7 linked regions of the Macaca mulatta genome follow. The protein of the gene in region 6 interacts with the protein of the main gene of each other region in a pairwise test. Links are inferred from orthologs where the notes say so. Each region holds a gene or a part of one and is shown on either strand. Other genes may lie near its edges.

Region 1 (2,605 bases), on a different chromosome or scaffold from region 6:
TGTGTGAACTAGACTGTCAGTAAATTCTATTTTGGCCTTTTATAATTCCACATAACTTCCTCTATTAACCAACATTTAGCTCTTTGTGCTTTAAAAATAGAAAAAAAGGAGGCCGGGTGTGGTGGCTCATGCCTGTAATCCCAGCATTTTGGGAGACTGAGGTGAGTGGATCACCTGAGGTCAGGAGTTTGAGACCAGCCTAACCAACAAGGTGAAACCCCATCTTTCCTAAAAATACAAAAATTAGCTGGGCATGGTGGCAGGTGCCTGTAGTCCCAGCTACTCGGGAGGCTGAGACAGGAGAATAACTTGAACCAGGGAGGCTGAAGTTGCTGTGAACCCAGATCGCACCACTGCACTCCAGCCTGGGCGACAGAGCGAGACTCCATCTGAAAAAAAAAAAAAAAAAAAAAGAAAAAGAAAAAGAAAAAAAGAAAAAAGGGATTCAAATTTTCCATGAAATTATAATATTAAGAAAACATCATAAAGTTTATGTACCATAAGGTTTAGCATGATGAACTTATTCTGAGCCATTTCTTGTATTTCTTCATTTTGGGAAAATACTTGTTTTAGTGCTATAGGGGAAAACAAAATTGTCTGTTAGTTTTAAGGATCAAGAGAACTTTAATGTAGCATAGCAAAATAAAGCTAATATTTAGCATTTGTTTGCATATATAACTCAAGTGTAAATATTAATAGTTCATTGGCCTATTGCCACTTTGCAATGAGGGACAGTCTGTTCAAGGAGACATCAAAGGATAATCACAGTGAAGACACTAGTTTTATAATTTTATGTAACTCATTGACTCATTGGTTAAGACAACAACTTTTTTCTTTCAGTGTTTCTCCACCCTCTCAGCTCACCCCTCTCTTTTCATGGGAAGAAGAGGAATATCTAATTTCTAAGGGGATATAATAGAAATATTCAGTAGATTGGTAACAATCATTGTGGTCTTTAAGCACTTTAATAAAATGATGGTACTCTGGCAGTTGTCTAATTTTTTTTTTTAATGAGATTTGCTGAGTGCCTTCTTAGCTATTATTACCAGGTCACTTTTCCTATTTTATATTGGAAAATTATGTATTATAATAAGAGCTCAGGGACTAAAATTACCTTGGGAGTATTGACAATCTTCCAGGTGATGAATAACCATTAATGGCTTCTTACTAAACAAAGAAAGTATGGAATTAAGTCAAATGATTAACTTTGAGTCAAAACATACAGTGGAGTTAGATTTGAAGTTTTATTAGTTTCAATAAGACTTACAGTAGTAACTCAGATTTACAAATCATAGCACTGTAGTCAATAGCAGTGTTACTCTATTTGTGGCCCCAGAACTGACAGTATCAGTATCACTAGGTAGCTTATTAGGAACTTAAATTCAAAGGCTCCATTCCAAAATTAGCTGGGCGTGGTGGCGTGAGCCTATAGTCCCAGCTGCTCTGGAGGCTGAGATATGAGAATCACTTGAACCCAGGAGGTGAGGTTGCAGTGAGCCAAGATAGCACCACTGCACTTCAGCCTGGGCGACATAGCGAGACTCTGTCTCAAACAAACAAAAAACCAAAGGCTTCATCCCAGACCCACTCAATCAGAATCTTTGGGGTGAGGGGTGGTTTCAGGCATCTGTAGTTTAACAAGCTTATTAGGTAATTCTTATGTACTCTATAGTGCAGTTAGAGAAAATCAATCGTGTATCCAGAGATAAAGGGATATTATGAACAATGTATTCATTTCCAATGAACACTTAGTGTAAGATTTCAGGAAAGTCAAAGACTTAAATGTAGTTTTTAAAAAAGTTTTACAAAAAAGCTGTTAATATTTGGCTATTTTCATATCCTTTCATTCTGGCACATTGTAGAATGTACAGACAACATAAGTGGAAGTTTCCTAGTTAATACATTTTTGGGGGGTCATTTTGATTTTAACCATAAAAAAGTGAAAAAGATAAAAATTCTTCCTCCTCCTGCTGACTTCTATAACTATGCTGTATTACTTTTCTTTATATTTTCTCCCAGAGGTTTTCAGGTCATATAACTGAAAATCTATATGAATATATATATATTGTATATACCCAGATGCATGTTCATATTTATGTGCATGTATTTCTTTCTAAAAAACAAAAATACTAGCACACAAGTATCTACATTTTGCTTTTAAAATATAACATATATCTTAGTTATGCCACTATTCTTTTATATTATATTCTATTATATGAATATATTTTATCTTATTAGTCCCCCCAAAGATGGATATTTAAATTGTTTCCAATCTCTTGTATTTAGATTGTTCCTAAACATTTACATTTGTACACTTATTTGGTAAACATGCTGGTTCTTTTTAAGGCACAGTTTCTTTACACTCATAATTGCATACTAAACTCTTATATAGTTCATATTTACAACCTGCCGTAACATTTTTGCATTCTGAATTAGTCCTTCATATTTTGATATTTGGCATAATGTTCAAACACACTTTATACACACTGACCTCTCCTTAAACCACTCATAGATTTAATAAATCCTACAGAAAAACATTCAGAGATTATTTGAAGGCTTGATCTTCAACCACTCACAGATTTAATAGATCCTACAGCAAAACATT
Region 2 (3,492 bases), on a different chromosome or scaffold from region 6:
CAAGACAGAAAAAAACAGAGGCCCAGGGTTGGGGAGCGTTACCTTTCCCACCGGATCCAGTGCTGAGAGAGACCCCATGGCTCTGGGTGAACAGGGGAATGGGAGTTTCAATGAAGGCAGAGCTCAGCCTGTCAGAAAGAATCAGAAAAAACAAGCCAAACAGATGGTCAGGGGCAAGAGTGACTCTCGCTAATGTTGAGCAAAAATGGAAAAAAAAAGCTTTCTCTAGACCAAATTGCTCACAAATTAGATACCGTTTTAAACAGACAGCCATACACACATTTACACACTGGATGAGGACCTAAAGGAAATAATCATTTCTTTGAGCTCAAGAGTCATAAACTGTGAAACATACCTATAAAAAAGTATAAAGTAGGGATTGCTTATAACCTAAAAACGCCACTTCTCCATGAGACAGTGCCTTTTTGGTGTTTTTGCCTTTTTGGTTTTTTGCCTTTTGATTTGCCTTTTTGATTTTTTAAATTAAGAGTGGCCAACTCAGGCTGAAGTATTTAGGGCAAACAGGGTATGATGTCTCCAATTTAAGATATATGTATACACACACAAACACACACACACACACACACACACACACATATCATATATAAATAGAGAAAAATGATAACAGCAATTGAAATAAAATATAAACAACTGGTGAATCTGGAGTATTCAGGAGTTCCTTGTTCTATTCTTGTAACATTTCTATCAGTTTAAAATTAGACCAAAATCAGAACTTATAGATAAATAAAAGAGGTATCCAGTCAGCTTTCTGTGAAGCCCTGTCCCAAAACAAAAATGTTTACAAAGTCATTAAAATGCCAATTCCAGACTTATTCTTGCAGATGTGTGCATAAAGTGTTCACTGTGACATAAATATCATGTGGAATCATGCCAGATACACTGAGCAGCACCGGAGAAAGAAAAATAAAATCCTGCTTCTCCTGCCAGGCATTTGTCTGTGCACAGCCAAGACAGAGCCCCCAGGGCGAAGGGAGGAGCTGCTCCTGGTGGGGACCTCAGTTGTGGAGGGCTTCTCTTTTCATTCAATCGAAACCCAGGAATTTAGCAAGACTGGAGTGAAGAATCACAAATTAATTCCCAGCCTGTTCTCCGGGAAAATCACTGTAGCTACGAACATGGACATAGCTGGAGAGAAAGAGAGAACTTCCCAGCTGTCTTAAAGTGAGTAGGGATCGAGTCACAGCTCCATTATGGAGGAGACCAGACAGCCACATAGTGACAGCCACAGACTGACCCAGTAAGGTGCTAAGAATCATGAGAATGGCAGCAGGAGCACCACCAACACCTCTGAGTGCCCTCGAGTGCCAGGCTCTGTGCCAGGTAGCTCACCTGCAGCACCTCATTAAATACTCCTGGGCATCCCACCTGCTGGGACATTTATGTCTCCAGAGGCCTATGAGCAAAACGCTGGCTTCTCAGTGAGGCCTTTTCTGACCACCCTACTTAAAATTGCAAGCATTCTCCCATCACCCCCATCGCCACCGCCCTCCTCCCTGCTAGAGCTTCCTCCTCGGCACTGGCGGTACCTTCATCCTCTGTCTCCCCTATTAGTTTTCCAGCACCCATGGGGTCAGGAATTGTTGTGTTTCCTTCCCTGCCACATGCCCACTTTCCTAGAACTGTGCCTGGCACATAATAGACACTCAACAAAGAGTTGTGCAAGGAATAAGTGGCCCGGATGGGGAGGGCACACTCTCACCTGTTGCCTTCAATCTCGATGATACGATGATACCGGTCCAGCTCATTCTTCAGGGTTTGCTGGGCGACCGCCAGCTGCCGGCAGTCGTAAGAAGACTTCTCCAGGACCCGCTCTGTCTCCTCAATCTCCTTGCGCAAGGTCTCAATCTGCTCGTTATAAAGCTGAATCTCATCGTCATAACACTCATGGGCACTTTTAATAGCTTGTTCCAGAGTTGTTGTCTGCAGGCAAGGACACACTGTAAGAAAATCTATCGCCCTCCTCCCCTAAGAGACAGACCTCACCAGGAAAAGGAACCTGGACTCAGTGAATGTTTTATTTTGTTTGTGTGTTTCTCTGCCCATTAGAGATTAGCAATGAATCACTTTGGAATCCTTAAGCTAAAAAACAATGTGAAAACTGAGCTCCTGTGTCCTTACACCTTTTTTTTTTTTTTTTTTTTTTTCTTTTTGATAGAGGATCTCACTTTGTCACCAGGCTGGAATGCAGGGATGTGATCACGGCTCACTGCATCCTCCAACTCCCAGGCTAAAGTGATCCTTCCACCTCAGCCTCCTGATAGCTGTGACTATGGGCAAGCACCAACACACTGGGCTAAATTTTTTTGTTGTTGTTCTGGTAGAGTTAGGGTCCTGCTTTGTTGCCGAGGCTGGTTTCAAACTCCTGGCTTCCTCCTCCCGCTTCAGCCTCCCAAAGTGCTGGAATTACAGGCATGAGCCACTGCACCCAGCCCTTCTTGCACTAATATCAGCACCCTCTGCAATTAACCCATAAGGAGGCCCACCCCAAAGGCAGTCTGAAGACAAACCTAGAAAATAAAACAAAACCTAGGCCAGGTGGCTCACACTTGTAGGTAAAATAAAATGAAACCTAGGCCAGGTGGCTCACACCTGTAATCCTAGAACTTTGGGAGGCTGAGGCCAGCAGATCACTTGAGGTCAGGAGTTTGAGACCAGTCTGGCCAACATAGTGAAACCCCGTCTCTACCAAAAACACAAAAATTAGCCGGGTGTGGTGGCACACGCTGTAATCTCAGCTACTTGGGAGGCTGAGGCAGGAGAATCACTTGAACCTGGGAGGTGGAGGCTGCAGTGAGCCAAGACCACACCACTGCACTCCAGTCTGGGCAACAGAGCGAGACCCTGTCTAAAAGGAAAAAAAAAAAAAAAAAAAACCTGCTATCCGTGGAATAATAATTCAAATAAAGTACATTCTTCAGACCTTAATGAATTAGCATAAACCCAATAGCCAAAAAATAAGGAAAAAGAAGAGCATACTGAATAGATAAGATGCTACTTTTATTGAAATACTGAGTGGGAGAAAAGTTTCCTTGTTCTCATTCAGTCACTACGGTGCTTTGATTTTCTGCTGAGTTTGGATCGGCAGAGTTACATTTATGTTTTGGTAGCTAAGGTGTGTGTGTGTGCATTTGTGTACACGTAAAATAATGTCAGAGAAATACATTAATCAGAGAAAGTAAAAATTAAGGCAGGAAAATAGAAAGAGATAGTTTTATATTCAGTGTAAGAGCTTGTGATGATACATAAAGACCCATAAATGCTCAGTTGTGTGCCACATAACAGTACTGCAGTCAACAATGGACTGCATATAGGATGGTGGTCCCATAAGAGTATAATGGAGCTGGACAATTCCTGTCGCCTAGTGACAACCGCAACCATCCTAGGGCCATGGAGCCACACGTTCACTCACATGTCTGTGGGGACGCCGCCGTAAACAGACTGTGCTGCCAGTTGCATAAAAAACTTCTAGCA
Region 3 (3,500 bases), on a different chromosome or scaffold from region 6:
AAAGGTCTTGCCTGAAACTAACATATTTCTTCCACCTCTGTTTCCTTGGCCAGAGCCAGCTACGTGGCCTTGGCTTAACTCAGGGCAGGGAAGTGTGATGCCACTGTGTGCTGAAAGGGTTTGCAGTGTAGTATGTGAATGACGTCTTCACTATGCTGACTGTGTGCAGGCACTGGGTTGAGCACTTTGTATACATTATTTCATGTAACTTCCTGTGTAACCCTGTGAGGTGTGTCTTATCCTCATTCCACAGTGTCTTGAAATGAAGTTTGGAAAGTTTCATTTTTCTTATCTTGACTTTATACTTTGAAAAAAAAATTCCAAACCTACAGACTAGCTGAAGGAATAAGAAAACAACTGCATCTCTCTCACCCAGATTCACTAATTGTGAATGTTTTGCCACATTTGTGGTCTTTTCTGCAACACACTTTTTCTTAAAAGCCAGCTGTTTAAGTTGCAGATAATTGACACTTCATCCCTGAATCCATAACCTTTGTATCTATATAGAACAAGATATTAAACGTTGTTACAATAATGTTATTTAACATGTAGGCACATTAACACTTTTCCCCAGTTGTTACCAAATTGTTCTTTTTTGCTTTTAAAAAATCCAGGATGTGATCTAGGACGGTTTCATTGTGTTTGGTTGTTATAACTCTGTAGTCTCCTTTGGTCCAGAAGAGCATGCCCACTTTTTGTCTTTCGTGACATTGGCATTTTTGAAGCATCCAGGCCTGTTTTCTTGTCACATGTCTCATAGTCTTGTTTTGCCTGATTGTTTCCAGTAGGTTGTGGTGTAGTGGTGCATATTCGTGTTCGCATTTCCTCTTGCGTTGTTTCTGTTTGTTCCATCCTTGGTGATGCTCAGTCTGGGCGCCTGATGGGAGTAGGGCCTGCCGGTCTGTCCATTGGGAAGGTGCTTGGCAGGTGTCATTGCTCAGGACTGTAGAGAAAGTGGGCCAGGTCAAGAGTTGGACTTGGGTGTGAATGGCTCCAACTCCTGTGTTCTGCACCACTTTGCCGCATTGCCTCTTTCTTCTTGAAACCTCCCCCCGCCCGCCAAAAAAAGAAAAGAAAAGGAAAGAAAAGAAAAAAGGTTCTTAATAGTTTTATAATGTCCTGTCTCATGGAAGTAAAGCAGTTACCTACTCATTCTCCTATTATTACATACTTATAGTGCTTTCAATTTTTGACTTGTACATTTTTTAAAAATACATCTTTTGTCCTCGTTTGAATTTCCTTAAATGCCAGAGGTCAGATTTTGGTTTCTTGACTGTTGGTTTTTCACCCTAAACTGCTTCCCCTGTTGCCTGTGCGTTCTTGAGGAAGTGGCTGCCCTGAGTGCGGTTTCCTGGCTTAGTGGAAGTCCACATGCTTGTAGTTGTGGATGACTCCCTCCTCAGCAGTGTGGGTGAGCCTTTCCTTTACTCTCCAGTGTCACTGTGATGGGGGACCAGGCCTGTGACGAGAAGCGTCTTCCTTCATCCTCAGCCCTGTGAGTGGGGCAATGCTCTCTTTCCACATTTTCAGATGAGGCAGCAGCAGGGCCAGGCCTGCCTCCATCCACCTCCTGAGCATGTCTTCTTTCTGCCGTATCCCCTCCTTAAAGCTGCGGCAGTCCCACAGAGGCTGCTGAGCACTGGGGTTCGGAGGACCCAGAGAGTGCTCCAGGTGGGGGGCAGCTCTCAGCCCAGCTCTGGCTCAGCCTCTGGCGTTCGCCAGGGTTGAATCTGCTAGGCTCAGGCTGAGCCATGGGTGTCACCTTGGGGAGGTTGGTAGGGGACTCTGCATCTTAAGGGGGTGACTCCACTCGCTCTGGGAACAATGGCAGCATCCCCGTCCTGGACCTTCTTAGATGGCTGGCACACTGCTAGCATCGTTCAGGACCTTGTCTCTAATCCCCACTGCGGCGCTGCCAGGGTGGGGTTGTCGGCTCTCCCAGATGGATGAGGGTCTTGCCCACGGCACGTAGCCTTCAGATGATCACCTGTGGTTCATAGTCAGGGCTCTCTGACCCCTGGCCTGTTTGTGGCCCACTACATCTGTTTTCCCTGTGTGCCAAATGGAGTCAAAAGTCATCTCAGGGTTAGCATTATATATTGTCAATAACATAATAACAATAATTATATGCCTTATCAAGCTACAAACCTAATAGGCCAAAGATGGATCAGGCAGGTTGTTCCTGCAGCCAGCACCATTACATGTGCATGGCAGGTGTTTGTGGGATTACTGGACTGGAGTAGTGTCCCACTGAGGGACAAGGTTTGAGCTGCATGTGTCCATCCTGGCCTGTGACCTTATGACACTCATTTTCTCACCAGTCTATTCACCATCTTTTAGATTTGATTAAATCCAAGGCACCCAACCTGGGGGTGCATTTATTTATCTTTTTTCTTCTGTGGACTTGTTGCTGATGGCCAGAGGCAAAAACCTGAGCAGGCAGGCATCTTCTCCCCAATAGACACTCCAGGCGTCTGGAGTCCTGGCAGTAATAATAGTAAAAACAAAAACTAAAACATAAAGAGAGGAGAATTTATATTGTAATCAAGAGACTGTTCCTTTAATGAGACCCGTGTGATCATCTTCTTGGTACCTTTGCAAGTTTCCTCCCTCTCCCTTGTGTCTCCTCTTGCGTGCTTTCTCCCCAGACAGCTTATAACCTGCAACTCATCTTGATTTGCAGCCAAAGTGATTATCCACCAGACACTCAGCGTCTTAGAAGATATTGTGGAGAATATCTCGGGGGAGTCCACCAAGTCTCGACAGATTTGCTACCAGTCGCTGCAGGAATCCGTTCAGGTCTCCCTGGCCCTCTTTCCAGCTTTTATCCATCAGTCAGGTAGGAGCTGGCCCAGAGCCCCACTGGTGGGTGGTGCTAACAAGGGCCAGAATGCCCACTTAGATCTGTAAAGCACACTGAGTCAGTGCAGTACAGGCCTCGACCGGCTCCGTGCAACGAAACCCGGTACTGAAGGGAAAGGGCAGTGGTGTTTATTTGCGGAGTCTGGGGCCAAGGCCCTATGGAAAAGTGAGCAGAGCCCTCCATATGGGCCTTGGCACCTACAAGAGAAGGCTAGAGAGCTTTTTTGGCTTAGTTCTCCTTATTTTGTGGCAAGGCGCATTTGCCGAGATCATTCCCCTCACCCTTGTCTGTCACTGTCAGTGATAGAGGGCCTCTCTAGCTCTGTGGATGTACTTGCCCAGCTCTCATGAGAGCATTATAGTAGTCTTGTCAGTTTTACAAGAGAAATATCAAGCACTTCTCAGTCAGCAAATATTCATTGCCTCTTGCAAGCAGATTGCGTGCAGTTAGAGCTGAAACACTACACAAGATGATTGTTGAGATCTGGAAGTGAAACTGCCCTAAATGTAAGCAGTATTTTCTGCAATTAGTCCATTTAATGGACCAGGGGCATGCAATCTAAATACACCTTCATTATCCACTTTCAACCACTCAACCTCTGACCCAACTGCAGGGATTATTAGTCATAGGGGGAAAT
Region 4 (3,942 bases), on a different chromosome or scaffold from region 6:
ATTTTCCTGAAATAAGGGGAGGCATTCAGTCACCTCCATGCTACATGTGTTTCTTCAAAGAAAACATTTTCAAATGTAAGAGCTGACCTAATAGATGTCTCCTTCGTCTTCTCTTACCTTCTCAATTTACTTAAAGCTAAACTTGTAGGGGCTTCACATCAGATGAAAGGTCACTCTGCCTAGCACTTACTGGACTTGCTGTTATCAGAATGCTTTTTCGCTCATGAGAAAACTAGGAGCTACCTGGTCACTGGCACAAACTTACAAAAATCTTATAAAAACTGCTTTTGTCTGCTAAGTCGGTCAAAAGGAATGAGGATAAACTGATACTGGTTATTTACTGAGCAGAACGCTATTCAGTCTATTTGGAATGCTATCCTTAAAGGTACTTTTTCTCTATAAAGAAATCTAGTTAGATGAAATAAATCACAACTGTTTTCACTTCCTCGGGTTGGTTTCCTTTAGCTAGTTTGATGTATGGTAAATGGCTAGGTTAGGGTCATGTGTTAGGTTAACTAGAGGTTTGTGGAATATCTTATTAACAAGAGTATTTCAAGAAAAAACTAGTTAAGGGAAGCTGGTTACCAAATATCTAGTAGGACTGTTGGATAAAACCATCTAATCCTCCACTCTAACACTCATGATGGAGATGTTACAATAACAATCTGGAATCCAAAAGCCTTCCTAACCAGGTTAATATAGCACTTAAGAGTACTTGCTCCAGTTATCTAATCAGTGTTATTTTAGGAGGAGTTACTTTGGATTAATCCTTGATTTGGTGCCTTGGGGAAGACTGGGTGTGGTCTTTGGAACATCCTGTCTATTTAGGCACTGATTATGACTTCCTTGCAATCTCTGCCTCCCCCGGATTAAGGACTCCAGATACCACTGTTCCTGCTGCAGCTGCTGCTTCCTGTTTTCTAAGTGGCTTTGAGTAGCCGTTAGTTTCTGGGCTTGCTCAATTAGCTGCAGTAATTCCTTCTTGAACTGCTGGTTCTCTCTTTTGAGGCCACAGGAGTATTCAAAAATAGACCGCTCTGCTGCCAACTTCAAGGCCTGGGCTTTCTTATTAAGCTCTCTTCTTTTTCTCTTTCCCAGTAGCCTCCTGTCTGGCTCGCTCAGTTGTTTCTCCAGTAATCTTTTCTCCTGGAGGAGCTGGGCCTGTACTTCACGTGTCTTTGCAGCTGTCTCAGCTTGGACTTTCTTTTTCTCCTCCTGTAATGTCTGTATTTCTTTCTCCTGCTTTTCCTTTAATATAGCAATGTCCCTCATTGCCTGCAACTTCCGCTTCAAACTGGATTGGATATTTTCCTTTTGCAAGAGCGCTGTTTTAAGCACTGAAATTTGTTCTGCATATCTGGAGGCTGATTCTTGTCTTCTTCGTTCAATCTCTCCACTTTGTTGTAAATAGCTGTTCCATACCTTCTCAGGTTGCTTTGTGTACTCTTCAGTTTTGTTAGTCAGGTATTCCAGAAAGAACCTGTTTTCAGCCTGGACAAGTAACTTTTCTTGGTATAGCTCCCTGTATTCCTCCAGTAGCTGTTCCCGCTGGATTTGAGCTTGTTTTATATGCTTGTTCAGAACCGTCATTTCCGCCACTATCTTTTCTTTAAGGATTGTCTCCACCTTTGTTAGCTTCTCTGGCTTGACAAAATTATTTATTAGCCTATGATACGGTGGAAGGAGCCTTCTGGGGCCCTCAGCAAACCTGAAAGAACAAATGAGACATTCCTCTCTCAGTTGATGAAACTTTAGGAAGTGCACAACTGTCCTTTATTTATACCAGAGAATATTTCTGAGTACCCAGAATGTTCCAGACATTATGCAAGGTGAGGGGAATCCAGCTAGTGGTAAAAGATGACGGATTTAGCTCATCATTTACAACGTGCGTTCACCACAACCCTGGGAGGTACTATCTCAGTTTTAAAAAGAGAAAACAGGTTCAGAGAGTTTAAGTGAATTGCCCATGACTCACACCACTAGCAAGTGGCAGAGCCTGGGTATGAAAGCCAGATCTTATGACTTACTGAACACTGTTAGCAGCTACAAAGGGCCACAGAAACAGACTGGGTGGTTGCGAGTAGAAATACTTTTCTAAGCTCTTTCATCATCTTTCCTGAGTTTCTGAGAGCCCTTCAGTGAGAAGGAAGCTCCCCTCCAGTACCTATTCGCACCTGGAATCCAAGCATTCATCCTGAAGGTCACGGCAACTGCGTAGTTCACCGAGGGTGATTACCAAGGAATGAGCGCTAGCATCAGGAACCTGCGCCTGCAACTCGCGGGAACAACGTGCAAGTGCGGAAAACTCCCGTAGTTTATCCGTTCGGTGCTCAAAGGGTCTCGGTGCTGCCCAGCAACCCTGGAGGCTGCACCCTGCTCCAGTCCTGGCTGGTCCAGCCCTGAACTGTTTAACCGCCTCGGCTACCGAATAAACCCGAGCAGCCGGTCCTCCAGTGGCTCCGCTCCCCGCTCTCTGCGGGCTCGAAATGAGAGGCATGCGCCTCGTTTTCTTGCTGTGTGAGTCCTGCCCTCGGGACCCCATCTCTTCTCGCCTTCCCCCTGGGGCCAAAAGCCCTCCCAGGCTGCAGAGATCAGAGCCCTTTCCTAGCTCCCTTCAGCCTTCCTCTCGCTTGCTCAGCGCCCCCACTTCCTCGCCACTGTCACTAGTTGGCTCACCAGCCCTGCCCGATACTAAGAAGATGCCCTGGCAACTACCGCGCCCCTTCACGCTCCTTTCTGACGCTTTGGTTCTGTTTTCGTTCGCTGCCCAGAACATCGCGGAAGTTTCTCTAGCCATGCGGTGTCTCTATGGTCAGGTGGGCGGGGCCAGGAGGAAGATGGCGGCTCCCGCAGCTGCAGCTGAGCCCCAGGCTTCTGGGGGTCCGCGGCACCCAGTGTGTCTGTTGGTGTTGGGAATGGCGGGATCCGGGAAAACCACCTTTGTACAGGTGACGTACACAGCGTGGGTGTAGTAGGGGAGCGCAAAAGGTTGCCTCCGACAGGCGGAAGGCCAGGGAGAAAGGGAGGGAGGTCTCCGAGGATTTGGAGGGTATCGGCGCATGGGTTTCGGTCGTTTCCCATCAACTTTAGTTCCTTCCCCGGCAAAGCCTCCTCGGGCCCTAGCCAGGTTAATTAAGGCTGTCTTCTGTGCACCTTCAGTGCATACTCGGTCAGCTTACCACGTTGTACAGGAATTGTCTTGCTGATAAAATTGCCAGTTTCTCGAAGGCAGGGGCTTACAAGTAACTTTAGAGATTAATACAGTGCTAGCACACAGGTTTTGGTGAAGATTTGCCGAAGAATTATTTCTTGCACGCCTGTCATGTACCATTCACTGGGGATATAGCGAAAATTAGGTTGACAAGATTCATTCATGGGGCTAAATATTTAATGGAGGAGATAGAGAAAACCCACATACGAAGAATCAAAACAAGTAAACAAGTGACTATGAGTAGGGGAAGTTTTGTTAGATGGGTGATGAAGAAAGGTAGCATTTGAACTGAGAGTTGTATCTTGGTGGTGGATATAGTGGGTGGATATTTCAGGTAAAAGAAAATCTAAGTGCAAAACTCTTAAGGCATGGGTGGTAAAGGAAGTTCTCTCTTGTCCCCTCTTTGTCTCCTTCCAACCTTCTCCCCATATCTCTGCAGAGGCTCACAGGACACCTGCATGCCCAAGGCACTCCACCTTATGTGATCAACCTGGATCCAGCAGTACATGAAGTTCCCTTTCCTGCCAATATTGGTGAGTAAACCGGTAACATAACTTGTGTGAAGTGCTTTAAAGAGAATGGAAAAGGCCGGGCGCAGTGGCTCACCCCTGTAATCCCAGCACTTTGGGAGGTCGAGGCAGGTAGATGAAGAGGTCAGGAGTTCAAGACCAGCCTGGGCAAGATGGTGAAACCCCATCTCTACTAAAAATACAAAAAATTAGCCAGGCGCG
Region 5 (3,500 bases), on a different chromosome or scaffold from region 6:
AGTAGACCAAACCCTGGGGCATCTAGGGTTGCATTTTGTGACTCTATTATGTTAAACACCCATGTCATTATTTTTTCTATATTTTCTTGTAGAAATGCTTGAAATAAACATCATTTTTGACATAATAGTCACTGCAGCTGGAGATAAACTAAATCCTTGTAAATACCTATCCAATTGAAAATGTCATTCTTGGCTGGGCGTGGTGGCTCACGCCTGTAATCCCAGCATTTTGGGAGGCCGAGGCAGGTGGATCACCTGAGGTCAGGAGTTCAACACCAGCCTAGCCAACATGGCAAAACCCCATCTCTACTAAAAATGCAAAAATTAGCCAGGCATGGTGGTGGATGCTTGTAACCCCAGCTACTCGAGAGGCTGAGGCAGGAGAATCGCTTGAACCTGGGAGGCAGAGGTTACAGTGAGCCAAGATCGCACCATTGCACTCCAGCCTGGGCAACAGAGCAAGATTCTGTCTAAATAAATAAATAAATAAATTTTTAAAAAAGAAAATGTCATTCTTTCTCATGTATTTTCCAGATTAAGGATGCTCAACTGCAAAATGCTCGATGTGTCCTGCAAATTGATAATGCTAAACTGGCTGCTGAGGACTTCAGACTGAAGTAGGTTCCCTAATATGTGGCAAAAGTTTCTGAAAAAGAATTCCTTTAGTAGTCCTTCCAGATAATCAGCTTTCCATATCATTGTTGGTAAAGGAACCACGGTTCAATGTTTCCAGAATCCTGAAGCCTAAAGGAGGTTAGAAGCTACGTGTTAGAAGCTAGCCCAGCACTCAGGGATGACCTTCTCTCTCTTGATCCCCTGGCATGTAACTGAACACCTCCAGTCACTACTATTCTCCTTTGTTATTACTGGTTGCTAAGTTTCTTTTTTTTTTAGTAACCTGGTATCTACCTTTTAACCCATTAAACCTAATTCTGCCCTTTGGAGTAATAAGAAAGCAATTTACAGTTCTCCTTCTCCCTAAGTGTCTCTCTGTTATCTAAAGAGAGTCTTAAGTCTACCCTTGGTGATTCTCCAAGTAATTCTCCATGTTCATTCAAGTACCTGCAAGTGTATGACCCAAGTTCCAGGGGTGACTCTTGATGATTTCTGGTTTGCCAGTGTTTTACAGGATGGTCTGGCCAACCAAAGAATCAGGACCAATCTATAATAATTAACCGGGTGTGGTGGCACATGTCTGTAATCCCAGCTACTTGGGAGGCTGAGGCAGGAGAATCACTTGAACCTGGGAGGCGGAGGTTTCAGTGAGCCGAGATCGTGACATTGCACTCCAGCCTGGGTGACAGAGTGAGACCTTGTCTCAAAAAAAAAGAAAAAATTGTGTTTACTTTCTCTGTAGTCATCACACCACATGTGACCAGAGCTGTTCCTTACAAACAGCTTCCACACTAGGGCATCTTCATCCTGAATTTGTACAATGCATTAACACCAAAAAGCCTTTTGTGGTTAGAAGAGTAGCCTTTTAATGCTCCAAGAGATTAACTAGAAGGAAATAGGAAATCAAATCCAAAGATTAAAGCAGTAAAGGTGCATTAGTTACAATTTTACCTAGCACTGAGTGTCCCATTGCATTGTCACTTTTTAAAGCTGGATATTTTAGGAAATTGGGCAGGGCGTGGTGGCTAATGCCTGTAATCCAGCACTTTGAGAGGCTGAGGCAGGCGGTTTGCTTGAGTCCTGGAGTTTGAGAACAGCTTGGGCAACATGGCGAAACCACGTCTCTACACAAAAATACAAAAAAAGTAGCTGGGCGTGGTGGCATACACCTGTGGTCCCAGCTACTTGGGAGGCTGAGGTGAGAGGATTGCTTGAGCCCAGGAGGTTGAGGCTGCAGGGAGCCATGATCGCATCACTGTATTCCAGCTTGGGTGACAGAGTGGTACCCTGTCTCAAATATACACACACACACACACACACACACACACACACACACACACACACACACATATATATATAGTGAGAGAGACAGAGAGCGTATGTAAGATTGTAGAGGAGGATGTAGAGCTGTTTGAGATAAGTCACTTTGGATGCCTCAGTTCACAAAGTTATAAAAATAAATTGATCATGTACATTCATTAAGTAAAAGTATTTAATATCAATAATGAGAACCCTTTGCCAACACAATAATTAACACAATTTAATTTCTTGTAAGATAAATTCTAGAATTTAGAAGTGCTCAAAATTATTTCAGATTGCCTTTTTCCAGTCACTCCAAATTATAGAGATTATATTATTGAGCAAATTGTCTGATTCCTAGGTTCTTATGTACATTTCATGAATGTATAAAGGCAGACATTATAAAGTTTTGAAATTGATCTCCTCATAAGCCACATTTAAAAACCTATCTCATTATATTAGATTCTCTCTCTTATAATGGCTACAGAAGGACCAGTTATCTCTGTATACTAATTAATTCCCAGGTATGAGACCGAGAGGGGAATACGCCTAACGGTGGAAGCTGATTTCCAAGGCCTGAATAAGGTCTTTGATGACCTAACCCTACAAAAAACAGATTTGGAGATTCAAATTGAAGAACTGAATAAAGACCTAGCTCTCCTCAAAAAAGAGCATCAGGAGGTGAGAAAATATTCAGAAGTGGTATTGGAAACGATGGAATGGTTCTATATAATAATAATAATAGGAGGAGCAGGAGAAACAGGAGAAGGGGGAAGAGTTGGTGGTGGTAATGACAGAGATGATGATGATGACAATAGTGATACAAGCCCCGCCTTCTTTTCATAATGTTGTTGTAGGTTAAATGACTTAGAGCAGTACCTGGACCACAATAAGCCCAACACAAGTTATTATTTTATTTCTTTTTTACTCATTGCCAATGAAAGAGGTCATGAGACTTCTTATGTCTTTTCTGCCCAACCTTATCTGAGAATGTGCTTCAGACTAAAATCAATCCGAATTTTCACTTTCATAGGAAGTCGATGGTCTATACAAGCATCTGGGCAACACTGTCAATGTGGAGGTTGATGCTGCTCCAGGCCTGAACCTTGGTGCCATCATGAATGAAATGAGGCAGAAGTATGAAGTCATGGCCCAGAAGAACCTTCAAGAGGCCAAAGAACAGTTTGAGAGACAGGTAACCGCACAATTGTAAAGTGTGAGCAAATGTGTAGAAGCTTTCCTCCAGAAAGAGATAACTCAGTTTCTTCTTCATTTGTTCATTCTTTCTTTCTCTTTCTGTCTTTTCTTTCTTATTTCCATCCCTCAACTGTTTGTTTTTTTTTCACTCGGCACTTTGTAGACTGAAATTCTGCAGCAACAGGTCACAGTGAACACTGAAGAATTAAAAGGAACTGAGGTTGAACTAACAGAGCTGAGACGCACCTCCCAGAGCCTCGAGATAGACCTCCAGTCCCATCTCAGCATGGTAAAGCACATCTAACTTCTCTTTCTCAATCCAGTATGTGTTTACCAAGGTCCTCTGTTAGGAACTTAGAAATGCAAAGACCTACAAGAAATAACCCTTC
Region 6 (4,149 bases):
GCACCAAGGCGAAAGTGGAAGACCTACACGTGTGAGACAAGAGTGGGTGGGGTCGTGGGGTCAGGAAAGCCTCATCCACCGGCCAAAATCATGGGGAAGCCAAGCCACACCCCCAGGCACGTCCACGGGGCTCCTCCCTCCCCCTTCCAACCACAGTTTATAACTAAGCCTCAGCCTCTCCGAATTCTAAATTTGCCCTTTCTTTACCCAAATCTGAGCCCCACCCACTCCCAAGGGAATTTCTTTAGGTCCTAAGGTAGGACCGATGCCCCACCCTTTCCCCCAATACAGAAACCTAAGGGTCTCCCAGGGGAATTACCTTAGGCCCCTCCCATCCACCTCAGAATATTCCGCTTCATGGAAAAACTCAATTCCAGGGACATTTTCTTCCAGCCACGCCCCTTGCCCTAAAATATTTCCTTTTGGCCCCACTGCCTTCCTAGCTTCCATCCCAAACCAGTGCCCAGGGGAACTGCCCCAGGCCCCAGCCCTTCAGCAATGTTATCCACTCAAATCCCACTCCTCGCTTTGCCACTGTCCCTCCAAGCCCCGCCCCTCATTGTTTATTTAGCTCCGCCCCTCTCCGATTCCCCAGAGGCCCCGCCTCTTTGTCCCATCGAAGCCCCACCCCTCAGCTAAAGGTTGGCTTAGCCCCGCCCCTTCTCACAATGGGCTCACGAAATCCCACCCATCGTGACGACAGTGGTTCTAGCCCCACCCACTTAGAGGGCTGCCTCTAAGCCCCGCCTTCTCCCCTGTCAATCTAAGCCAGTCCCCGCCTCAGCAGGTGCCTGGTTTAAAAGGAAGGAAGTTGGGCTGTGAGCCAGAGCAACGTGGAGCAGGGAGGGTGGAGGAGGGTAGAGGGGGCAGGCAGAGAACTGCTACCCGAACGCCAGCCGTCCACACGCGGCTATGCGCCAAGGGCCAAAGCGCATGCTACGTCTTCCGAGCTGTCCAATTGCTTTACACCTCCGCCTTCTTGGGGATCAGTGCGCATGCGCGGACACTCAGGGCCCGCGCTCATTCATTACGGGGCACTGGTAGGCTACTGCGCAGGAACAACCAAGCACGCACAGAATCGTTTAGAAAAAGACCACACCCTCCCTTGGAGTGCGCAGGCGCAGCCACACGCCGGCTGACAAACATCGAGTCTCTAGAACTCTCCCACCCGGCTCCGGGCCCAGTGCGCATGCGCAGCCGCGCGCCTTCGGCCCACCGTACCTCTTCTGCGCCTGCGCGACCGTGATTCCCCGCTCGCAGCTCCCCTCCCCCCAGGGCTCCCTAAAGAGGGCCACGAGCTGCGAAAGGGCGGGAAAGGCGGTTGGAGAGGGACAAGTAAGCGGTTACTCACTCCATGGCTGCAGAAAGGAGAGGCGGCGGCGGCCTCGGCTGAAGAAAGAAGGTGGGAGCGGAGAGCGCAGGCGTGGTAAGCGCGGAGTCGGGCTGGGGGCACAAAGGGGTCGAGGCTACAGAGCCATGGCTGGGGCTACGCAGGCGGAGGCGGAGAACGCTGTAGTTAGAAGAGACCGTGATCTGAGGACGGGGAATGAGGCGGCCCCGGGGACTGGGGACAGAAATACTTCGGGTGGCGCAGCATGGCCCGCCCGGATCCTTCCGCGCCCCGCCCTCGCGGGGCCCCAACTGGGTGGCAGCCCGGTCCCCTCCTCCTGGGGATCAGGGGATCCGACCTCTTCCTTCCCACTCCTAGGGTCCAGGCCCCTCCTCCCTTTTGAGCCAGGGATCCGGCCCTCTCGTAGCTCCGGGGTCTGGTTTCCTCCTAAACTCTGGTTTCTTTCTTTTTCTGCCTGTGAGGTCTGGGCCTGCTTCCTCCTGTGATTTTGTGGATCCAGTCTCATTCTCTTCCCGGAGACCTGCACCATTTAATTTCTGTTTCCCTTTCCCTGCTTGCAGAATTTCCTGCCAGCCACACTTTTCATGTTTTCATCCCCCAACTGCTGACCCCGAGAAACCCTCGTGGGTTAGAGTCCAGCGTGAGTCACAGCACTCTCCCAAACACAGACCTACCAGGATGGCCTCGGGCAAATAGCTTAAGTTCTCTTGCTTCATTTCCCTATCCGTAAAATAAGAAAAATCAGCTCTCCTGGTGGGTTTATGAAACTCAAGACGGTGTCTGGCAAGCCTTATGCACAGAGTTCAACTCATACGTTCCTGTTCAATTTTTTTTTTTTTTTTTTTTTTGGTGAGATGACGTCTCTCGGTCTCTGTCGCCCAGGCTGGAGTGCAGTGGCGCGATCTCGGCTCACTGCAAACTCCGCCGAGTTCACGCCATTCTCCTGCCTCAGCCTCCAGAGTAGCTAGGATTACAGGCGCCCGCCACCACGCCCGGCTAATTTTTTGTATTTTTAGTAGAGACGAGGTTTCACCTTGTTAGCCAGGATGGTCTCGATCTCCTGACTTCATGATCGGCCCGCCTCGGCCTCCCAAAGTGCTGGGCTTACAGGCGTGAGCCACCGCGCCCGGCCTCAACATATTTTATTGGGGCCCAGCCTCACTTCTTCTTTCCCCCTTACAAGAGCCGCAGACGTTGGACTGTCTAACTCTTGCTGTCGTTCTTCTGTCTCCCTCATTCCTCTGAAGTGTCTGTTTCCGGCCATCCTCATCTTCCGTTCCAAATGATGGGTGCCCAGGCCCCATCCCCTGGCAGGGATTCAGACATCGAGGCCCCAGCTGCGTCCTTTTCTCCATCCCTTGCCCTTGGCTTCCTTTCAAACAGTCCTTAGCTTCCACGGGATAGGAACTATCTCCCAACCCTGCCAAAAATGGAAGATCTCCGTTTCCCTTTAGTCAGAGGGTAGCCATCTTGCCCCTTCTCATGCACAGGGCCCTCCACCAGCCGAGGTGGATGTCAGTCTTTTCTCTCTTGCAGAAACCCACTTTGTCCCATCCACGTCAGGACATCCCAGCTGGAGTTCAGCCTTCATCCCTTCTGTGGCAGTTAGGAGACTGAATCAAGGTCCAGAGAAGGTGGAGGAATCCTGGTATTGAGCGTTTTACACAAGCTTCTTTCTCCTCCCTTACTTGTCGCGGGCAGGAAGCCCTTCTTGGGATCTGACCACCTTCCCTTAGAGCACTTATTGTCCACTTTGCCAGCTTTTGAGCACCTGCCCTATATTTCCTTGAGCTTGTAGGGGTTGTGTTATCACTGAGACAGTATACAGAGTAGCAGCTAAGAGCATAAACTGAGCTTGTCCCATCCGTGGGCCTGCATGTGGCCCAGAATAGCTTTGAATGCAGCCTAATACAAATTCGTAAACTTTCCTAAACCATACGAATTTTTTGCGAGTGTTTTTTTTTTTTCCTTTTGAGCTCATCAACTATCATTAGTGTTATTTTATGTGTGGCCTAAGACAATTCTTGCGATGTAGCCCCAGGAAGCCAAATTTTATACATCCTTGGCATAGACTCTGGAGCCAGATTTATGAGTTCAAAACCTGACTGCACCCCTCTTATTAGCTGTGTGACCGTAGCCATTTCCCTTCCCGGTGCCTCGGTTTCCCCTGTGGTACAAGGTGGTGTTAAGAGTACCTGCCTCTGGGCCAGGCACGGTGGCTTACGCCTGTAATCCCACCACCCTGGGAGGCTGAAGTGGGCAGATTGCTTGAGCTCAGGAATTCGAGACCAGCCTGGGCAACATGGTGAAACCCCGTCTCTACAGAAAATACAAAAAAATAGCTGGGTGTGGTGGTTTGTGCCTGTGGTCCCAGCTACTTGTGAGGCTAAGGCAGGAGGATCACTTGAACCCTGGGGTGGGGCAGAGGTTGCAGTAAGCGGAGATTGTGCCACCACACTCCAGCCTGGGTGACAGAGTGAGACCCTGTCTCAAAAAAAAAAAAAAAACAAAAAAAACAAAACTGCCTGCCTCATAGGGCTGATTAAATGAGTTAATCCGCGTCGAGCAGTTAGACTAGTGCCTGGGACACAGTAGGTGCTGCATAAAAGTGGTTACTGTTACTGCTATAATTAAGGTGGATGTGTTCTCATTCCATTGCTGTGCAGTAAGTCCAACTTCCTTCCACTTCTCAGTATAGGTTTTTGAGCAAAAGCAGATGGAATTAAGGGTAGACTGTTGGACAGACTGCCAGTGGTAAGGACGCAGAGACGTGCCCTACCCCAGCCCCCCACCGGCAG
Region 7 (3,063 bases), on a different chromosome or scaffold from region 6:
CTACATGGGTGTGTTCATGAAGTGAGAAATCTTCTGTGCTATTCATGGATACCTCCATTACTTCCTGTAATGAAGCTTTGAAAAAACTTGGAGGGGAAAATAATAACCTATGTCTTAACACTTCCTTCTTCCTGGAAGGCCCTATCCACCCTGGCAAGGCTCACCGGCCTTGGCATGCTCCCTCCGAGCCTCGTTCAGCCTCCTCTCTGTGTCTGACAGTTGCTCCCGCAGCCGAGTTTCCACTTCAGCCACCTTCTCTTGCAGGGCTGGGGTGAAAGTGCAGACGGGGCGTATCAGCAGGAGCTTTGATTTGCAATTCCCACGCCACCGTCCAAGGGAAGCACCCCTTTCCCTCTCGACACCTTGCCTGTAGAGGTCCTGCTGCTGGGTCAGCTCCTGCCGCAGACTGGCAGCCTCCTCTGTGCTCTCCTGCTGGCCCTGGCGTGCCACCTCCAGCTGCAGCCCCAAGCTAGCCAGGGACTCCTGGGTCTGCTGCAGCTCCTGCTCCAGCTGCTGGGCCACCTTGCTCAGCTGCTGCCGCTCTGCCTCCCCTAAAAGGAGGGGGTGCTGGGTCAGGCCTCTCCTAGCACCCTAGACACCGGGTCTTTCCTCATCCTTGCCACCCCCCTGGCAACCAGGTGTACCTTGTTCCCGAGCCCGGCCCACCTCCTGCTGAATGAGGCGGGCACTCAGCTGCAGTTCTGCATCCAGGCGGTTCCGTTCTTCCCGCAGCTGCTGCAGCTCAAGGCTTACGTCTGTGACTGGTGGTGGTAGGGGACAGCTGGGACAGGGAAGAGAGAGTCAGGAGAAATCACCCAGCTGCCTGACCCCAAAGCACCCATCCTGCCTCAGTTCTCATGGTTTTGGGGGTCCCAGTAGCCAATGCTCTAAAGCCCCATCCACCTCAAAGTGCCCAAACTTCACCTCTCCTGGCGCAGCTGAGCAAGGGCAAGCTTTCGAGCAGTCAGGCCTGGGAGGGAAAAGGCAGGGAGAAAAAGAGATGAAGTTTGCATGGGAGAAAGTGGGGGACAGGGAGTAAGGGAAAAAGAGATGCGAGGGCTGGTGAAAGGAGGAAGGTGAATGGATGTGGGATCACAGAGCTGGGTCAGGAAGAAGAAAGTCCGAGCTGGTGGGGCGGGGGCGGGACATGGCTCCCAGTTGCCCTACGCACCCCGAATGGTGTGGACCTTGCGGACAGCATAGCTGAGTCGGTTGTTGAGGCTGGGAAGCCGGGCGGCAGCCTCTTCCACCTTAGCCATGGTGCTCTCGAGCCAGATCTGAGAGCTGGAGAGGGCACAGGTCATTGACCCTCCATGCCTCCCCTCATTCCCAAAGGACTTGCTGTGCCTAGTAGAGACAACTCCCTCAATCCTGTCCTGTTATACAAGTGAAGAACGCACAGCTTCCATCAATTATCTAAAGGGACCTTGCCCCAAGAATGCATTAAATGACTATCTTTTAAAGCAACCTGTTAAGCTTATTTCTCACAACCTGTGTTTCGCTCACTATTGTGCATCAAAGAGTAAAGTTATCCTCTCTGGCCAGAGGCTTCTGCCTGTAATCCCAGCACTTTGGGAGGCCGAGGCGGGTGGATCACCTGAAGTCAGGAATTGGAGACTAGCCTGGCCAACATGGTGAAACTCTGTCTCCACTAAAAACATAAAAATGAGCCGGGCATGGTGGCTTATGCCTGTAATCCCAGCTACTCCGGAGGCTGAGGTATGAGAATCACTTGAACCTAGGAGGTGAAGGTTGCAGTGAGCCAAGATTGCGCCCCTGCCCTCAAGCCTGGGCAACAAAGTGAGACTCCATCTCAAAAAACCAAACCAAAACAAAGTCATCCTCTCCAAGCCCAGGAGTGTTGATTTAGCACCAATGACGGGCAGACCCACATGCTTTACCAGCTGGCTGTGCCAAAAGTAGGACCGACCTGGCTCATGAAAACTGAGCAGCTTAAACAGGCCCCTGGAGGAGGCCAAGGAGTGTCTAGGGCCCGCGTGGGGTTTCCTCAGGAGAGTCCGGGTCTGCACCCACAGAAAAACACAGGATGATGAAGGCTTGCAGCTGCATCGCCAGCAGCACGGCAAAGTTCACTTTCATCTGGAAACTGTTCAAGTAGATGCTTCCAACACCTACCGCAGCTCGTAGTAAAGTCTCCAAGTACCTAGAGACAATCTAATAAACCCAGCAACAATCCGAGTTCAGACTGCTTTAAGCCTGGAGGACTTTTGGCAATGCATCATTACACAGACCATTTCTGTGATTGCCTGGTACCAAAGTCAAACCCTGTCCGCAGCACATCTTTCTGTTCTCCTGGAGGTAGGGGGCACACGCAATGGATTGAACCTGGGTGGTAGGTCATCATAACTAGTTTAATTCCATGCAAGTGTGAAATGTTTCATAATTTTTTAAGCTGAATTAGTCCCCAAGGTACAAATCCAAGAGAAGGAAGTGGTGGGCAAGGACTCATCCTGCATCTTAATTTCGCTAAACCAAAAATTATCTTTATCTAAATTAACCCATCAAGAAGAGCCTCATGATAATGATAAACATTTACAAGCCAGACACTGTGCTAAGAACTACCTGCCTTGGGTATCTCAATGTCCAAGGCTGAGGGGAAGTCATCACCAGCACAAAGAAGCTTTGCTGTTTCCTTAGAAGTTTTTCCGAAGGTCGTAGAACAATTGTTGGTAATGAAACAACTAGGAAGTTGGGGCCGGGCGCGGTGGCTCAAGCCTGTAATCCCAGCACTTTGGGAGGCCGAGACGGGCGGATCACTAGGTCAGGAGATCGAGACCATCCTGGCGAACACGGTGAAACCCCGTCTCTACTAAAAAATACAAAAAACTAGCCGGGCGAGGCGGCGGGCGCTTGTAGTCCCAGCTACTTGGGAGGCTGAGCCAGGAGAATGGCGTAAACCCGGGGGGCGGAGCTTGCAGTGAGCTGAGATCCGGCCACTGCACTCCAGCCTGGGCGACAGAGCCAGACTCCTTCTCAAAAAAAAAAAAAAAAAAAAAGGAAGTTGGTATGAGACACAAAGGCTGGCAACTGATTTAGAAGGAA

What was found.
Region 1: the proteins of NUP62 (region 6) and AGR3 interact in binary tests that used the Homo sapiens proteins (3 or more experiments, as listed by UniProt). The two-hybrid records come from large-scale screens. The link is inferred for Macaca mulatta from reciprocal best matches to the Homo sapiens genes NUP62 and AGR3.
Region 2: the proteins of NUP62 (region 6) and BFSP1 interact in binary tests that used the Homo sapiens proteins (3 or more experiments, as listed by UniProt). The two-hybrid records come from large-scale screens. The link is inferred for Macaca mulatta from reciprocal best matches to the Homo sapiens genes NUP62 and BFSP1.
Region 3: the proteins of NUP62 (region 6) and XPO6 interact in binary tests that used the Homo sapiens proteins (3 or more experiments, as listed by UniProt). The link is inferred for Macaca mulatta from reciprocal best matches to the Homo sapiens genes NUP62 and XPO6.
Region 4: the proteins of NUP62 (region 6) and CCDC121 interact in binary tests that used the Homo sapiens proteins (3 or more experiments, as listed by UniProt). The two-hybrid records come from large-scale screens. The link is inferred for Macaca mulatta from reciprocal best matches to the Homo sapiens genes NUP62 and CCDC121.
Region 5: the proteins of NUP62 (region 6) and KRT20 interact in binary tests that used the Homo sapiens proteins (3 or more experiments, as listed by UniProt). The two-hybrid records come from large-scale screens. The link is inferred for Macaca mulatta from reciprocal best matches to the Homo sapiens genes NUP62 and KRT20.
Region 7: the proteins of NUP62 (region 6) and CCHCR1 interact in binary tests that used the Homo sapiens proteins (3 or more experiments, as listed by UniProt). The link is inferred for Macaca mulatta from reciprocal best matches to the Homo sapiens genes NUP62 and CCHCR1.

The regions. Positions count from the first base shown.
Region 1 is NC_133408.1:111,410,803-111,413,407, reverse strand, and holds part of AGR3 (anterior gradient protein 3), read right to left. Parts: intron 1,168-2,605; coding exon 1,115-1,167; intron 576-1,114; coding exon 499-575; intron 1-498. UniProt on the Homo sapiens protein: Required for calcium-mediated regulation of ciliary beat frequency and mucociliary clearance in the airway. Might be involved in the regulation of intracellular calcium in tracheal epithelial cells.
Region 2 is NC_133415.1:66,512,169-66,515,660, reverse strand, and holds part of BFSP1 (filensin), read right to left. Parts: intron 1,942-3,492; coding exon 1,721-1,941; intron 129-1,720; coding exon 43-128; intron 1-42. UniProt on the Homo sapiens protein: Required for the correct formation of lens intermediate filaments as part of a complex composed of BFSP1, BFSP2 and CRYAA. Involved in altering the calcium regulation of MIP water permeability.
Region 3 is NC_133425.1:27,658,247-27,661,746, reverse strand, and holds part of XPO6 (exportin-6), read left to right. Parts: intron 1-2,683; coding exon 2,684-2,839; coding exon of another isoform or gene 2,840-2,865; intron 2,866-3,500. UniProt on the Homo sapiens protein: Mediates the nuclear export of actin and profilin-actin complexes in somatic cells.
Region 4 is NC_133418.1:97,366,458-97,370,399, reverse strand, and holds the start of CCDC121 (coiled-coil domain-containing protein 121), read right to left. Parts: upstream 2,801-3,942; 5' UTR 2,543-2,800; coding exon 2,175-2,542; coding exon of another isoform or gene 2,165-2,174; exon of another isoform or gene 2,033-2,164; intron 1,987-2,032; coding exon of another isoform or gene 1,967-1,986; exon of another isoform or gene 1,952-1,966; intron 1,709-1,951; coding exon 754-1,708; 3' UTR 1-753. Other genes in the region: GPN1 (GPN-loop GTPase 1), read left to right, coding at 2,838-2,948, 3,651-3,744.
Region 5 is NC_133421.1:65,262,822-65,266,321, reverse strand, and holds part of KRT20 (keratin, type I cytoskeletal 20), read left to right. Parts: intron 1-534; coding exon 535-617; intron 618-2,438; coding exon 2,439-2,595; intron 2,596-2,947; coding exon 2,948-3,109; intron 3,110-3,274; coding exon 3,275-3,400; intron 3,401-3,500. UniProt on the Homo sapiens protein: Plays a significant role in maintaining keratin filament organization in intestinal epithelia. When phosphorylated, plays a role in the secretion of mucin in the small intestine.
Region 6 is NC_133424.1:62,390,486-62,394,634, reverse strand, and holds the start of NUP62 (nuclear pore glycoprotein p62), read left to right. Parts: upstream 1-1,349; 5' UTR 1,350-1,426; exon of another isoform or gene 1,427-1,548; intron 1,549-2,887; exon of another isoform or gene 2,888-2,999; intron 3,000-3,744; exon of another isoform or gene 3,745-3,889; intron 3,890-4,149. UniProt on the Homo sapiens protein: Essential component of the nuclear pore complex. The N-terminal is probably involved in nucleocytoplasmic transport.
Region 7 is NC_133409.1:151,917,831-151,920,893, reverse strand, and holds part of CCHCR1 (coiled-coil alpha-helical rod protein 1), read right to left. Parts: intron 1,285-3,063; coding exon 1,172-1,284; intron 971-1,171; coding exon 925-970; intron 782-924; coding exon 645-781; intron 552-644; coding exon 363-551; intron 267-362; coding exon 165-266; intron 1-164. UniProt on the Homo sapiens protein: May be a regulator of keratinocyte proliferation or differentiation.